Linked DNA regions of Astyanax mexicanus. The protein of the gene in region 2 interacts with the protein of the main gene of each other region in a biochemical or structural test. Links are inferred from orthologs where the notes say so. Each region holds a gene or a part of one and is shown on either strand. Other genes may lie near its edges.

Region 1 (8,248 bases), on a different chromosome or scaffold from region 2:
AAAAGCAAAATAAATTTTGCTTTCTCAGGGCTCTGGTAGCCGATGGCAAGCTACATCAACAGGATTCGAACCGGCGATCTTCTGATCATAGTGGCAGCTCTTTATTCTGCAGAAACACTCAAAGCCCCCACACCCTGTGACCATTAAGCACCTCTATACACCACAATCATCTATAATCAGCAGAGTAACCTTCTTGTAAACAGTTAGCAACACTATAACAACCATTTGGGATATCATAGCAACCACCTAACAACTCCCTAGCAACCCATATAGCAACAAATGGAGATACTATAGTAACTAGCTACCAGTCAAACATGCATCTTTTAATGGCAACAAAATCAAACTACAGTTTGCACAGTATTGCTGCTGTCCAATTAAAATCATGTACCTTATCTACATTTATGTTATTGTAGCTGCTCTGTACACTGTGTAAATTATCCAGGATGAATTGACCAATAGAACATTTTAAGCACATGCTTGCCTTTCTCAATAAAGTCCCTATTTTGTATGTATTTGTTACATACATACATACTCATAAACACTACAACAGTCAGTCAAGTGTTCTAATAACCGCCTGCTTAATGCAGAAATGTCATTTTTTCTGTATTTAATGTGTTGATAAGCGATGCTACCAGAAGTGTTTGAGAGTTTGGAGTTTGTTGAATGTGGTTCATTATTACTGACCTATTGACAGCTATTATCTGAAGTGGTTCTAGCTGGTGAGTAACATCAATCTAATAAATATTGGAGGAGCTCTAGTACTGCGATTGAGTGCTGTGTTATTAAATGCTCCAGCTGTCATTACCATAATAGAGTTTGGAGCTGGAGGATGCTTCAGAGAATGCTGCACTGAATCACCTCCGCATTGCAAAAAAACCTGCGCTGATAATGACTGGCATGTTGGGATTTTACCATCTTTGCAGGCTCTTTATAAAGTGTATGATTGTGTAGCTTAGCTGTGGTAATGTGGTAAAAAAAAAAAAAATCAATTGCTCCACTGAAAAACACACCCAAGATTAATTAAAGAATTAGTACATGCCTTTTATGCATTTCAAGCTGCAGAAGGTGTACTTTTTCACCCTCATTATACCAAAGACAAACCGGCACACCCTAAATCAGGGTTCCCGTGGGTCCTTGAAAAGTCTTAAAATGTCTTTTATTAATTAAAATCTGGATAATTAAGGTTTTAAACTGTCTTCAATTCACTGTAAATTTGCTGTAGGTATTAAAAGACGGTTTATTTAATGGCTGTGGGAAAGCACATATGCTAACATTAGTGATGAGTTACTAGGGAGAGAACTAAGGTTAGAGGAGAGCTAGCTAACAGTAGCCACGAGTTAGCTAATGTTACTGGGGACAGAACACAGGTTAGCATTTAGCTAGCTAACATTAGCCGTGAGCTAGCTAACGATACTGGGGAAAGAACACAGGTTAGCATTGCGTTAGCTAAAATTAGCCGTGAGCAAGTTAATGTTACTGGGGAGATAACTAATGTTAGCATTAAGCTAGCTGAACATTAGAGGTGCGCTGGCTAACGTTTCCGGGGAGAGAACTAAGGTTAGCGTAGAGCTTTGTTTTATCATTTATATAAAAAAGAACATTTCCTTTTAGATGCAAACAGTTTTACACATATTGTACACATATTTAAAAAATATATTTCCACTTCTTTGCTAATACATGTGCACATACGCATTTGTGTCCAATAAATGATGCTTAAAAATATGCATACAATAAATATGTACGCATAGTTATATGACATATATTCCCAATATAACTCCTTTGTCACACAAGTCCATCAGATCTCCAAATGGGAAAACTAGGCCTATGAATGATGCATTGGGGGATAAAAGCAATCCCTTCCTTTTCTTTAGTACAATATAAAGAAAAAAAACATACTCTACTGCACTACATTTCTGTCAGAATTCTGTCCAGTGCATTTCTGTCTGTTCCCCCGAGCTTTCCTCACGCAAACAGCGCTCCAGACTCGGCCGCTCTTAGCTCAGCCTTTTCCCCATATAAGGACTTTTTGTATCCCTCCACCGGGGAGAGTTGAACAGGAGGTTGGACGGGGGAAAGGGGCCAGTAGGACCCCCTGCTCCTTCTGCCAGTGGCCCCCCTTTGCTCCACGACAGCAGCAGCGAAAAATGGAGCTCGGCAAACACACCGGAGCTGCTGAAAGGTGTCGTGTGCAGCTGTGAGAGAGTGGAGGTAGCTGTGAAAGAGAGTCATTGGCAGCGTTTCAGTTCATATTCACAGTAAATATGGATGACTAATGTCTGCAGAGCTAAACCCTTAAACCCAAGGATCCTTCACCTCAGTTCACTTAGCTACAGAACTTGCATAGCTAACAGTTTAAGAGCTACAGAACATCTCACAGCAGTGATCCATCCATATTCTGCTCGATGACAAGGAGGAGGCCATGTTTGTTTACCATGTGTTAGATCTTAATTGGTGACCTAAGCTCTCTCCAGATGGGATTAGTTTCTCAGGGGGACATCTGTGTAAAATATTTCACACCTCTACTCAGTGATTTAACTCTTGCACTCTGGACTGCAATTGAAAAACAGGAGGACCAGTGAGTTTTTTGGCTTTCTCGGTCACATGACATCGCGTTCAGTAGCTCCTCCATTTCCACTCGCTGTTGCACTCGCACTCGCTGCTGCGTGGATCTCCATGGAAACGTGTGCTCAAAGTGTAATTACGTTGCGTGACAGTGGACAAATAGCTGTTTTATTAAATGCAAGGTTCTGAAACTCAGAGATGTGAGTCCTGGCGGGACTAAAATTACCGGAGGACCACAGAGTTTAGTGAAAAAAAGTGGATAATTCAGCCTGTAATTTTCTCAGAAGATCCCCCATAAAAGAGAAAATTATCCCAGGACCCCCTGAGAAAATAATCCTATCCGGATAACACAATATAAACATTATCAAGGTCTTGAGAAATTCCATTTATCTTACTAGTGCTATCTCAAAAAGCACTATAGTGAAACTCATATATTATATAGATGTATTACACACAGAGTGATCTATTTTAAGTGTTGATTTCTTTTATTTTTGATTATTGTGGCTTACAGCCAATTGAAACCCAAAAATGAGTATCTCAGAAAATGAGAATATTATATAAGACCAATTGGTACTATTGCCAGTGTGGGCAGTGTGCCTGGAAAAGTCCTGCTGGAAAATGAAATCTGCATCTCCATAAAAGTTGTTCTCCGCAGAGGGAAGCATGAAGTGCTGTAAGATTTTTCAGGAAAACACTGCACTGACTTTAGACTTGATAGAACACAGTGGATCAACACCAGCAGAGGACATGTCTCACAAAATTATCACTGATCATCAGTAAATTTTTTATTTCATTTGGTGATGGTTTGGAGAGACATGTCATCTGCTGGTGTTGATCCACTGTGTTCTATCAAGTCTAAAGTCAGTGCAGAGTTTTCCCAAAAAATCTTAGTCTTACACTTCATGCTTCCCTCTGCTGAGAACAACTTTTATGGAGATGCGGAATTAATTTTCATGTTGATATGTTTAAAACAATATATTTTTATATTTTAATGTATTGACATCCATCATTTGTCTGCAGGTACATAACAGCTGGAGGGATTGTACAGTTAGGCAGAGTTATCACATGACTGACTCTGATAAACAGCATAGAGAGCAGCTTCTGAATATCCCAGGTGCATGACACGCCCCTTTCTAAGTCCCAGCAGACCCCCCCCTCCCACTATCTCTCTTCCACTTTCTCCCTCTTTCTTGTTCTCTATCTCTTTCTTCCTCTCCTTCACTCCTTTAGGTTCTTATCATTATGTTTATATGTAAATACATACGTTTATTCATCTGGATTGAAGAAATATAAATGTCCCTATTTTAGCGCATTGGTCAGTTACTCTTCGTGTAAAAGTCATGTACTAATTCTCTTAATTAAAGGAGAACTCCAGTGTAAAATTTACTTTGGGTGTAGTAAAACATGATAAAGAGTATTAACTTTTGTTGAATAGCCCACCTCCATTCTCATGCAGCTTTTTGAGATTCAGGAATTTTTTACAGTTTACAAACGTGCTTTAAAATGGATGGTATGGGGCATATTTGGCCCATGAAGATACATGGCTTTTTACACCGTTATCCAGGCTCAAACCACAGTTTACAACCCATAATCTTTTACCTTTACCTTAAGATGGCAGCGCCCGGAGATTAGATTATGCTATGGGTTTTAAACAGTGGTTTTTAATAAGCTGCTTGAGCAGTTTTAAAGTTCTTAATGCCTCGTTTTAAATGTCAGGGCCCTGCAAATTCTACCAGTAAGGTGTGGAGCTACTTTGAGCATGGACAACAGTGTAAAAAACAATTTATCTCCAGGGGCAAATATGCCCCATATCAAAAAATCTAAAACATGTTTGGACAAACTGTAAAATATTACTGGATCTCAGAAAGCTGTGGGAGAGCGGAGGTGTGCTATTCAACAAAGATTTGTACTCTTTATCATGTTTTACTACACCCAAAGTCAATTTTACACCTTTAATCATGTTTTCCTTTAATAATGGGTGTGTATTGGGCGTAACGTGAACTAAATCAATCAGTGTGTCACTTGCCATTCCTTTAAGAGGCAGGTGAGCTCTGACTGGAGATATATTCCAACTCCAACCGTTAATCTATTGTCGTGGCGTGAACATATGAAAATGGGCTGTTGACGGGGTGTAAGATAGCAATAAGCATCTTGACGCTCCTTGCGCAGGATGTACGATAGAGCCCGAAGAATGATAAAAGCCTGCACAGCTTCCTTTATTATCACAGAATTTAGAAATATGCTTTATACCTCTTTCCTGTTTTATATCTCTCTTTCTCTTTCTTTTGCTCTCTCTCTCTCTCTCTCTCTCTCTCTTTATCTGTCTCTAGGTGTGTTGGTTGGTTGGTGTGTTATCCTTTCCCTCCTCCTTAGTGACAGATCTTCCTGTCTCCTAGCAGCTCTGTGTGAAACGTCGGGAGTCTCTTCCTCTCTCTCTCACTTTCTCCCTCTCTCTTTCTCTCTCTCTCTCTTTCTCTCTCTCTCTGTGCTTCCCTCCTCCCAGCTGCTTCTGCTGCTGCACATACATGGCCTGTGACTGCGAGGGAGGGAGGTGGGAGGAGAGAAAGAGAGAAAGAGAGAGAGAGAGAGAGAGAGAGAGAGAGAGGCAGTCTGGCAGGCACATGGCCAGTGAATGAGAAGAACTTGCCCTCAGCACACAGTCAGTCTTACTGGATTGGAGCGGTGTGTGATTGAGTGAGGGAGTGTGTGTGTGTGTGCGCCTCCATCAGTACCTAACCTACTGCCCTCACCCTCACACACACTCTTACACACTCGCTGGGACAGTGTACTGGGACGGTGTACCGGGACGCTGTATCTGAGACGTCTACCTTTGTTTTTCCAGGATGGCCGAGGCCGAACTTCACAAAGAGAGGCTTCAAGCTTTGGCGGTAAGTTTTCTTTTGCTCTTCTGTTAAAAACACACTGCTCTGAAGACCCTGGCAAAGATCTGATCATGAATTAAACTCAACTATAGCTTTCTGTTGGACTGCTGCTGGGAATATACTGGAGAAGAACTGACATCTTCTGGATAGAGCAGATCAAGTTTTTCTATGAGTATACTGAAGATTATTTGCTGTCTACTGTAGAAAACTGTAGTAAAATAAGTTAGTTTCATCTGAAAGTTCTTGGATTTTTTTCTGTTGTGAATACACTGGTGATAATCTGACTATTGTCTACTGCAGATCACCATGGGTTCATCTCTTTTGAAGGTTTCTCCTGGACTTTTGCTGTAAATATAATAAAGATTAACACTAACATTTCCTGCAAAAAACGATGGGTTAGTTACTTTTGGATGTTTTTTATGGAGATAATCTGACATCTACTGTAGGTAGAACCATGGTTTAGTCTATGGAGATATTTTGACAACTACTGTAGAGAACCACAGGTTAGTCTCCTCTGAAGCTTTCTTTTGGACTTTTGTTGTGGTTTTGATCAAGATAATTTGACATTTCCTGCAAAAAAAAATATGCTTCAGACTCTTTTGGTGGTTTCTTATAGGGGTGTTCTACTAGAGAACTCTACTAGAGATAATAGAGATAATAGAGATAATCTGACATCTCTTGCAGAAAACAATGGGCTAGTCACTTCTGGATGTTTTGTATAGAGATAATCTGACATCTACTGTATGGCAGAACCATGGGTTGGTCTCTTTTAAAGGTGATGACACTGGAGATAACGTAAAAACAACAAAAAAAACATTGGTTCATCTGTTTTCAAGGTTCTTTCTGGACTTTTACTGTGAGTATGATGAAATATTTTCTACTGTGTCTACTGTATCTGTGGTTATGTTCTGTAAAGAACCACAGGTTAGTCTCTTCTGCGGGTTTCTCCTGTACTTTTGCTGTGAATGTGATCAAGATAATCTGACATTTATGCTTTAGTCTCTTTTCGAGGTTTCTTATGGAGGTATTCGGACATCTACTGTAGCTAGAACCACAGGTTAGTCTTCTTTGAAGGTTTCTCCTGGATGTTTGTTGGAAATACAGTGGAGATAATGTTGAGCACCATGGGTTAGTCTCTTTAGAAGGTTTCTCTTGGACTTTTTCTGGGAATAGAGTGGATATAATCTGACAACTACTGTAGGTAGAACCATGAGTTAGTCTCTTTTAAGGTTTCTTCTGGACTTAATATCATATCTACTGTAGGTAGAGCCATGGGTTCGTCTCTTTAGAAGGTTAACCTTGGACATTTGGTGTGATGACACTGGAGATAATGTAAAAAAAAAAACATGGGTTCATCTGTTTTAGAGGTTCTGTCTGGACTTTTACTGTGAGTATGATGGAGATATTTTTGAAAAAATACACGGGTTGTCTCTTCTGAAGGTTTCTCCTGTACTTTTGCTGTGAATGTGATCAAGATAATCTGACATTTCCTGCTGAAAACTATGGATTAGTCTCTTTTCGAGGTTTCTTATGGAGGTATTCGGACATCTACTGTAGCTAGAACCATAGGTTAGTCTTCTTTGAAGGTTTCTCCTGGATGTTTGTTGGGAATACAGTGGAGATAATGTTGAGCACCATGGGTTAGTCTCTTTAGAAGGTTTCTCTTGGACTTTTTCTATCAAAAGAGTGAATATAATCTGATATCTACTGTAGGTAGAACCATGAGTTAGTCTCTTTTAATGTTTCTTCTGGACTTAATCTGATATCTTTGGTAGAGAACCATGGGTTAGTCTCTTTAGAAGGTTTCTCCTGGACTTTTGCTGTAAATGCCCATGAGAAAATGTAAGAAACCTAGAGTTAGTCACCTTTGAATATTTTAGGGAATCATATGATAATATTTTTTTGAAAACACTGCAGATAATCTGGCATCTTCTGCAGGTGGAGCCATGTGTTTGTATCTTTTTTCGAGGTTTCTTCTGGATTCAAAGCCAAACTAGAGCTGGTGGGTTTGTTGAGTAGGCGCAAGCACCTCTGCTGTGTTTCTTCTCGTTCTGAAAAATGCACTCTATGAGCTAGAGTCCAGCAGTGGCAATCTAGCGTAGCTGAGAGAGGCTAATTTTGGCAGCATCTACAGGACTTCAGTGAACATTGGAGGGGGAGCAACAGATGGGGAAGTGTTCTGGCAGCGGCTCTGGCATCTTAGCCATTCTATGGTGTACATTTCTCAAACAGAGGTGGCAGAAATGTTGACATGGCCTCGGAGAAGCATATGTATGGGAGTGTATTGCTGTATACTGTAATATAACATCTTAGTTGGCTAAAGAAAATCCTTATGTTGGATTTGGCCTTTAGTAGCTGATAATAACCTGAAATAATTGGGAGGGAAGTACAGATGTTGACAGTACTGTCAAAAGTACAGATTCTAAACTTTTTTAGATGATATTATAGTTGTGTTCGACCCAAAATAAACTTTTATGGCATTGTTCAAAAATACAAAATAAAGGGCATTTACTGAATACGATAGCACTTCTGAAGGAAATTCATGACTAGTATAGCAATACTTGATAAGAATAGCACTGGTAAAGTGTGTATATGACTAGAATTGCACTGCTGGAGTATGTATATAACTAGAACAGCACTACTGAAGTACATTTGTGACTATACTAGCACTGCTGAAGTAAATATATGACTAAAAAAAATCATTGCTGAAGTAAGTTTATGACGAATAACACTATATATATATATATATATATATATATATATATATATATATATATATATATATATATATATATTTTCCTACA
Region 2 (8,263 bases):
CTAGAAAAGTGTTTAGGAAAAGGTTTATGTTTGAGTAAAATGAACATTGTTGTTTTATTCTATAAACTACAGACAACATTTCTCCCAAATTCCAAATAAAAATATTCTCATTTAGAGCATTTATTTACAGAAAATAAATGCAAAGAAAACAAGTTCATATTCATAAAGTTTTAAGAGTTCAGAAATAATCAATATTTGGTGGAATAATCCTGGTTTTTAATCACAGTTTTTTTTTCATGCATCTTGGCATCATGTTCTCCTCCACCAGTCTTACACACTGCTTTTGGATAACTTTATGCTTTATGCTTCAGTTTGGTGGTTTGATGGTTTGTGATCATCCATCTTCCTCTTGATTATATTCCAGAGGTTTACAATTTGGTAAAATCAAAGAAACTCATCATTTTTAAGTGAAATTTTATTTTTTTCCAGAGCTGTATATAGTAATAATATTTGTATTTTATCCTGTGATAAAATCTCTATCTTATAATAATCACTTACTATTATAATTCTGATCTTTACTGAAGAATCTTTATTTTATTTTAATTCGGTGTAAATGTGTCTCAGTGTGGTTCAGTGTGAACAGTGTGGGGATATCTGCAGTTCTGTAGAATGGCCAGTAGGCGGCGCCCTTAAACCACATTATACCGGTTTGGCTGATCCTTGTCCGCGCGCCCTGCCCGCAGGTACAGGGGGGCTAAAGTAAGTAATAACAGTTATTAATGTCTGTGTTTATTTAATATGTATTTATTTATATAATCTACTGAATGTAAATTATCTCTATTCTGATTGGATGTACAGCTGTGGATCTTCATTCAAAAAATAATCCAGCCTGAAAAACATTTCTACTAAATTTCTTTAGGCTGAATAGAATGATATATGCAAATCCATATCCATAAATATACATATATATTTATTTGATATTTGACATATATCATATATTTGATTTATAAAAATCAAACTAGGAAACAGAAAAATAAAGACTATGGATTCAAATAAACATAATTACAGTATTAATAATTTTATAAATTAATATCCTTATATTAATATAATTATTAAAGTCCTTTATTTGAAATAAAAAGTGAGGGAAATTCAGTTATTGTTTTATGATATGTGGGTTTTTTATTGTTCAGGTACGTTTTCCTGTAATAATAATCTCTCCTGTTCCTCTCGGTACAGAACCGCTCCAGATTCTGACTGATGATCCGCCTCAGATCACTCCAGATCCACCTGACCTTCAGACTCCGGTACAGATTCACCATCCCTCCAGCCCATCCAATCACGGAGGAGTAGAGTAGAGTAGAGTATAATAGGGAGGAGTAGAGTACAATAGAGCACAATAGGGAAGAGTACATTTCAGTAGAATACAGTAGAGTAATGTAGAATATAGCAGAGTAGAGTACAGTAGAGTAAAATAGGGAAGAGTAGAATACAGTAGAATACAGTAGAGTAAAATAGGGAAGAGTAGAGTACAGTAGAATACAGTAGAATACAGTACAGTAGAATACAGTAGAGTAAAATAGGGAAGAGTAGAGTACAGTAGAATACAGTAGAATACAGTACAGTAGAATACAGTAGAGTAAAATAGGGAAGAGTAGAGTACAGTAGAATACAGTAGAATACAGTACAGTAGAATACAGTAGAGTAAAATAGGGAAGAGTAGAGTACAGTAGAATACAGTACAGTAGAGTACAGTAGAGTAAAATAGGGAAGAGTAGAGTACAGTAGAATACAGTAGAATACAGTACAGTAGAATACAGTAGAGTAAAATAGGGAAGAGTAGAGTACAGTAGAATACAGTACAGTAGAGTACAGTTGAGTAAAATAGGGAAGAGTAGAGTACAGTAGAATACAGTAGAGTAAAAAAGGAAAGAGTAGAATACAGTAGAGTAAAATAGGGAAGAGTAGAATACAGTAGAGTAAAATAGGGAAGAGTAGAATACAGTAGAATACAGTAGAGTAGAATAGGAAAGAGTAGAGTACAGTAGAGTAAAATAGGGAAGAGTAGAGGGAAGAGTAGAATACAGTAGAGTAAAAAAGGAAAGAGTAGAATACAGTAGAGTAAAATAGGGAAGAGTAGAGTACAGTAGAATACAGTAGAGTAGAATAGGAAAGAGTAGAGTACAGTAAAGTAATGTAGAGTAGAGCGGAGTAGAATACAATAGAACAGAATAGGGAAGAGTAGAGTACAGTACAGTAGAATACAGTAAAGTATTGTAGAGTAGAGTACAGTAGAATACAGTAAAGTATTGTACAGTAGAGTAATGTAGAGCAGACTAGAATACAGTAGAGTAGAATAGGGAAGAGTAGAGTACAGTAGAGTAGAGGTGAGTAGATTACAGAATATGCTGGAAAAGAATGAAGTAGAATTAAGTACAATAGAAGAAAATAGAACAGAATAGAATACAATAAATAGTAATATTTTGAAATTTAACTTAATGGATCAGAATAGAATAGAATAGCAGTGCAGAAATGCAGTGCAGTGTCTGTGCTGGGTCTGCAGGGGGCGCTGCTGCAGCAGGTGAATGTGTGATCTGGGGATTTGCTGCAGGTTCTGGGTGGATAAGCCTCACCTGTGCCCTGCAGGTAAAGAGCTGAGATTAGAGACACTGCTCTATATTTACAGCAGAGCAGCAACACGACACAGAGAAATCCAACCCCTGCAGAGCACAGCATTACGCACAGAGACCACACAGAGACTCGTACAGGTTTACACTGTCCTCCACCCTGACCACAGCTACACACATATATACATAAATATATAACCTATATTAATTATATACAGAGAAATCCTACCCCTGCAGAGCACAGCTTTACGCACAGAGACGACACAGGGACTCGGACAGGTTTACACTGTCCTACACCCTGACAACAGCTACACGCATATATACATATATATATATATAACCTATATTAATTATATACAGAGAAATCCTACCCCTGCAGAGCACAGCTTTACGCACAGGCACAACACAGAGACTCGTACAGGTTTACACTATCCTCTACCCTGACCACAGCTACACACACATATACATATATATATATAACCTATATAACCTATATTAATTATATACAGAGAAATCCTACCCCTGCAGAGCACAGCTTTACGCACAGGCACCACACAGAGACTCGTACAGGTTTACAGGGATACCGAGCACTGAAACTCTATCCTGCACCCTAACCACAGTTACACTTATATAAATAACATATATATAATATACATACATATATACATACGTACCCTGCACGCTAAAACTAATCACAGTTACAGACACATATATATATACATATATATGAATACATATGTCTTTGACTGCTTTTTAATGCAACGAATACAACAGAATAAAATAAATATAATAAAGTACTATAAAATGTAATGGAAATATTGAGATTATTTTTTAACAATATTGCTCAGCCCTAGAATAAATAATAGCATAGTATTAAATAAAATAGAATAGAATAGAATAGAATAGAATAGAATAGAATAAAAGAAAATGCAATAGAGTAAAGTCAAGTTGATTACATTAGAACATAGTACAAATAGAAGAGAATAGAATAAGATAAAAAAAAGCGAGGAATTAAATAGAATAGAGAATAGAATGGAATGCAATATATTAGATTAGATTACAATAGAAGATAATGCAATGCAATGGCATAAAATAGAGTAGAACTGAATAGAATTAATCAGAACAAGAGAAAAGATAAATATTATGTAGTTATTTTATTATATATCCCCTTCAGGTTTTATTTATTTATTTATAGCTTCATGTTCTGGAGATATCTTATCTCCTCGCTGTTCCTGCACTCTGCTTGATTGATGCAGAACATGAACTGAGATTAGTGCGTGCTGTTTACCTGCTGCTGTCCTGGTTCTCCAGGTGAGCAGTAGTTACCTGCCCTGCTGCACAGGTGTGGTTTTCAGCACGCGCTGGCTGGAATGCAGCGCTGACGTTGTTTCAGCCTGTTGGGTCACACGGTGCAGCGCGAGCTGTCACTTTATCACCCGCCTCTAAATTCCACACGGACACGCCCCGCCCTCGGGTTGCTGCGCTGTGATTGGTTAGTCCGGCTGCCAATCAAAGCCTCCTTGCCGTTGAAGCCACGCCCCCATTGCGCTGCATAACATAACAGGAGTAACATAAATAAATAGGCATTCGTTTACCATTTTAGTATAGTGTTTTCCTGAGGAAAAAACGCATTTTTTGTACCTTTCCATAACTTATATTTTTACTTACTTACTTATTTATCTTTAATATATTTACTATAATGTTACATGGCATATCAACATCCAATACAATGAGTCGTAAAAAGACATACAAAGTGCAAATACATTAATAAAAATATGTATATGTGCAAGAATATGGAAAGAAGTATATTTTGCTTTTTATATTCTCACTATATCCTTATATTATTTTTGTTATTTTTGATTAATCGTGAAGAAGATCTCCTTCCCTGCATGTTTTGGGAGCTTCCTCGCCCTAAAACACCTAATTCAAATTATTATCAGCCTGTTATCAAAAGTCAAGCTTTAAAGCTTCCAAAAAAATATTTTTCACTATTATCTTGTGTCTCTTGTCACAAGTATACTTTGTTATACTTTATATTTAGTGTCTCTCGTTCTTTTATTATTCATAATTTTATCTTGCTGTACTTGCTGTAACTTTGGGAAGGAGGGTAACGTAATTTCAAATCCTCTGTATGTCCTGTACATATGCAGTGCTGACAATAAAACTACTTGACTTGGCTTAATGCAAACTACTAAAAAAAATAGGAATCGACTAGAATATTATAGTATATAAATGCACAACATTTCTCCCAAATTCCAAATAAACATATTGTTATTTAGAGCAAGAAAACAAGTTCATATTCATAAAGTTTTAAGAGTTCAGAAATCAATATTTGGTGGAATAACCCTGGTTTTAATCACAGTTTTCAGGCATCTTGACATCATGTTCTCCTCCACCAGTCTTACACACTGCTTTTGTGTTTGATGGCTTGTGATCATCCATCTTCCTCTTGATTATATTCAATTTTAAGTGCCAATATTTTGTTATTTCAGAATGATGGGTCATACTGTGGGTGAACCTACATCTAAATTCCTCACGGACACGCCCCCTCTCGGCTTACCGTGCTATGATTGGTCTGTTGGGCTGTCAATCAACAAACAAAGGCGCTTGCGTTGACGCTACTGTTGAGGCCACGCCCCCAAAGCGCGGCTCGCTGGCTGGCTCGCTCGTGGAGTGGAAGGAGAGAGCGCGCCTCGACGAGAGGCAGAAACCGGGGGGATACGATTAAAAAATCGTAGAAATAATCGATTTCGGGGGGATTTGATTATTCGTAGGGATTTGTTCCAGTTGGACGGGAGCTCTGAGGAGAGGAGAAGGAGGATTGACACAGAGGGGAAAGTTTTTTCGCTGTTTTTCGGGTTTTTTTGGGGGGGCTCACCGGGCCATCAGTGCTGGGCTGGTGCTGGGGCTGGTAGTTGGTTGGTTGGCTGGTTTGCTGTGGGCGACCTGTTGTGTGCAGCTAGTTAGCTAACTAGCTTAGCTGTGGGTTATTTTTGTCTGTGTGTTGGTTTGTTTTAATGTTTAATGCTGGAGAACTGGCCTTCTACTGAGGACAAGCGAGCTTAATCTCACCACCCTGCTGTCCCCACCCCTCCCCACTTATCTCTCTCTCTCTCTCTCTCTCTACCTCTCTCTCTTTCTAGCTATCTTTCTCTCACCCTCTCTCTCTTTCTAGCTATCTCTCTAACAGCAGCTAGCTTAGCCTGGTCATTTATCTATCTATCTATCTGTCTGTCTATCAAAATAACAAGCAGAATAATAGCATAGGTTAGCTATACAGCTAACTAATAAGCTCTGGTGGCTTCTTGAGTAAGGCAGTAATCAGCAGGCAGGCAGAGAGACAGTCTTAGCTTGCTAGCAAAGCCTAGCTTAGCTAAGCTAACTTAATACAACACCGCTAACTACCTCCCTCTCTGTCTCTCTAACCTTCTTAGCTTTCTATGCTGAGCTTTTAGCTATCTCTTCTCACGTCAAAGACAGGGTAGCCTCTTCTTTTCCAGTTTATACCTGGCGTTAGCTACCTGGACGGACGTCAAACGAGCAGAAAGCTAACTTAGCTACAGGACTGAACACCCGTCAGAAGATCTGCACAACCTCCTGGATTTAGGAGTTAGCCAACTAGCTAAGCTAACTAGGCTAAACTCAGTCAGATTGATTAGCTATCTATCTATATATCTTTCTATCTATCTTTCTGTTCATCAACAGCTTAGCTAGTTTGGCTAGTTAACTTCTGTCTTCACCCCAAATTAAATCAGTCTACAGCGAATTATTTTTATATCTAGCTAAATTAGTGAGCTAGTTAGCCAGCTAACTGCTATAACTGCTAGGTACCTAGGTTAGTTGGTACTGGAAATTAACGCGAGCTAGTTTAGCTAACGCTAACTAAGCTAAGCTAATTAGCGCTAACCCTACAGCTAGTCTCCTCTCCTGCTAGCTGCTTCTTCTTCTTATTTTTCTCTTCCTCAGATCTATCTTTCTATTCCTCCTTAAATTCTTTTTACCTCCTAAACGAAAGAGTCTACAGATAGTTGATTTATCGATTAGCTCGCTGTTGAATTTAGTTGGTACTGATCTTTTTTTATCAGCATTATTAACGTTAGCTAAATACATTACCTATCTGTCCAGCTAGCTAAGCTAACTAGCTCGGAAATATCTAGGAAGGAGAAAGCAAGGCTGGGCAATTTGTTAAGCGATATTTTTAAGTTTTTGTCTGCTTTATTTCTTTGGGACAGGTTTACAAAACATTAGCCAGAGGTTGTCAAACTTTTTTGAGGCACAAAAAAGCTTAACTTCAGATTGCTAAGCAAGTTCAAACTACTAACGTTAAACTAGGACGTTGTTTCTCCTTGAAAGTGTGTTTTTGTGAGTTTTTGAGCTTTTTTGTACTAACTACTTCTTGGCACTTTCTGCTGCCCACTTGTTTAATAACAAGTTATTAAAGTTATACACACTGGTGGGCAGATTTTGTCAATTTCTGACATTAAAGGTTTTACAGTACTCGTCCAAGGCCCGTCCACTAGCTGGTAAATAACTGACTCTAGCTAGGTTAATTACATGGACTGATAAAAGAGAAGTTTATTATTTATATTTTTGTACGATCCGCTCCAGAAATTCTCTATATAAATATATTCTAAGTTAGTTAGGTATCAGGATACTAAGCACCGCACAGCCATGAGTATTGAGATCCCGGTGGGTCTGACCGAGCTGCTGCAGGGCTACACCGTGGAGGTGCTCCGCCAGCGGCCGCCGGATCTGGTGGAGTTCGCCGTGCAGTATTTCACCCGCCTGCGGGACACCAGGAGCCAGGACGGGTCCGGAGCCGCAGCTAAAGGCAAGGGGGTGATGTTCGATGGAGAGCCGATGCAGACGGAGTCTAACGGGGATGAAGACGACGAGGACGACGATTCTGACTTCGAGCGTAAGTAACTCACCTAATGAAATACGATGTGAAATACAGCGCTTTTAACCGATGCTCCCAACAGGTTTACAACTGGGGTTGGATATATATGGCCCTAAAATAATGATACTAGTCAAGAATCAAGAGGCTTTTATTGTCATTACATTTGAGTACAGGTACACAGTGTAGTGAAATTTCGTTCCTCCGGAACCATGGTGCAACATGGAACAACAAGCAATAGACAACATAAAGTGCAGGAGTGACGACAACAGTGCAACATAAAACTAGAACACTAAATAACAAAAAATACAGGACGAGACAATTTAAAAGACTGGACATTATTAGACATTATAAAGACAATATTACTACTAATAATGCACTTCTCCAAATATCTCCATATATCCAAGATTAAAGTAAAATAAATGATACTGGACAGATATAATCTGTCTCTAGTAGATATATAATTGGAAATGAGAACAGTGTAAAATGTTCTTTTGCTAAAAACTGTAATTATAACGATAATTTTAACGTGGTGGTGCCTGGACAACTACCTGATGGGTAGAATACTTTTGCACGTCAAACTTTTCAGATTTTTGTTTGATTAAAATTTCGGAAACATTGTATGATTTTCATTCCAATTTACAATTATGTGCTACTTTGTGTTGGTCTATCACTTAAAATCTCAGTAAAATAAAATACATTTAAATAAGTGTAAGGTGACAAAATGTGAAAGTTCAAGGGGTATGAGTACTTTTGCAAGCCACTGTACATTCTTGGTTACATCTTTTGCACCCTTTTGAAT

What was found.
Region 1: the proteins of prkar2aa (region 2) and A-kinase anchor protein 2 form a complex in vitro, tested with the Homo sapiens proteins (2 studies listed by BioGRID, with this or other methods). The link is inferred for Astyanax mexicanus from reciprocal best matches to the Homo sapiens genes PRKAR2A and PALM2AKAP2.

Annotation. Positions count from the first base shown.
Region 1 is NC_064427.1:25,515,846-25,524,093, forward strand, and holds the start of A-kinase anchor protein 2, read left to right. Parts: upstream 1-5,172; 5' UTR 5,173-5,405; coding exon 5,406-5,450; intron 5,451-8,248. UniProt on the Homo sapiens protein: Binds to regulatory subunit (RII) of protein kinase A. May be involved in establishing polarity in signaling systems or in integrating PKA-RII isoforms with downstream effectors to capture, amplify and focus diffuse, trans-cellular signals carried by cAMP.
Region 2 is NC_064419.1:50,097,025-50,105,287, forward strand, and holds the start of prkar2aa (protein kinase, cAMP-dependent, regulatory, type II, alpha A), read left to right. Parts: upstream 1-5,216; 5' UTR 5,217-7,235; coding exon 7,236-7,482; intron 7,483-8,263. UniProt on the Homo sapiens protein: Regulatory subunit of the cAMP-dependent protein kinases involved in cAMP signaling in cells. Type II regulatory chains mediate membrane association by binding to anchoring proteins, including the MAP2 kinase.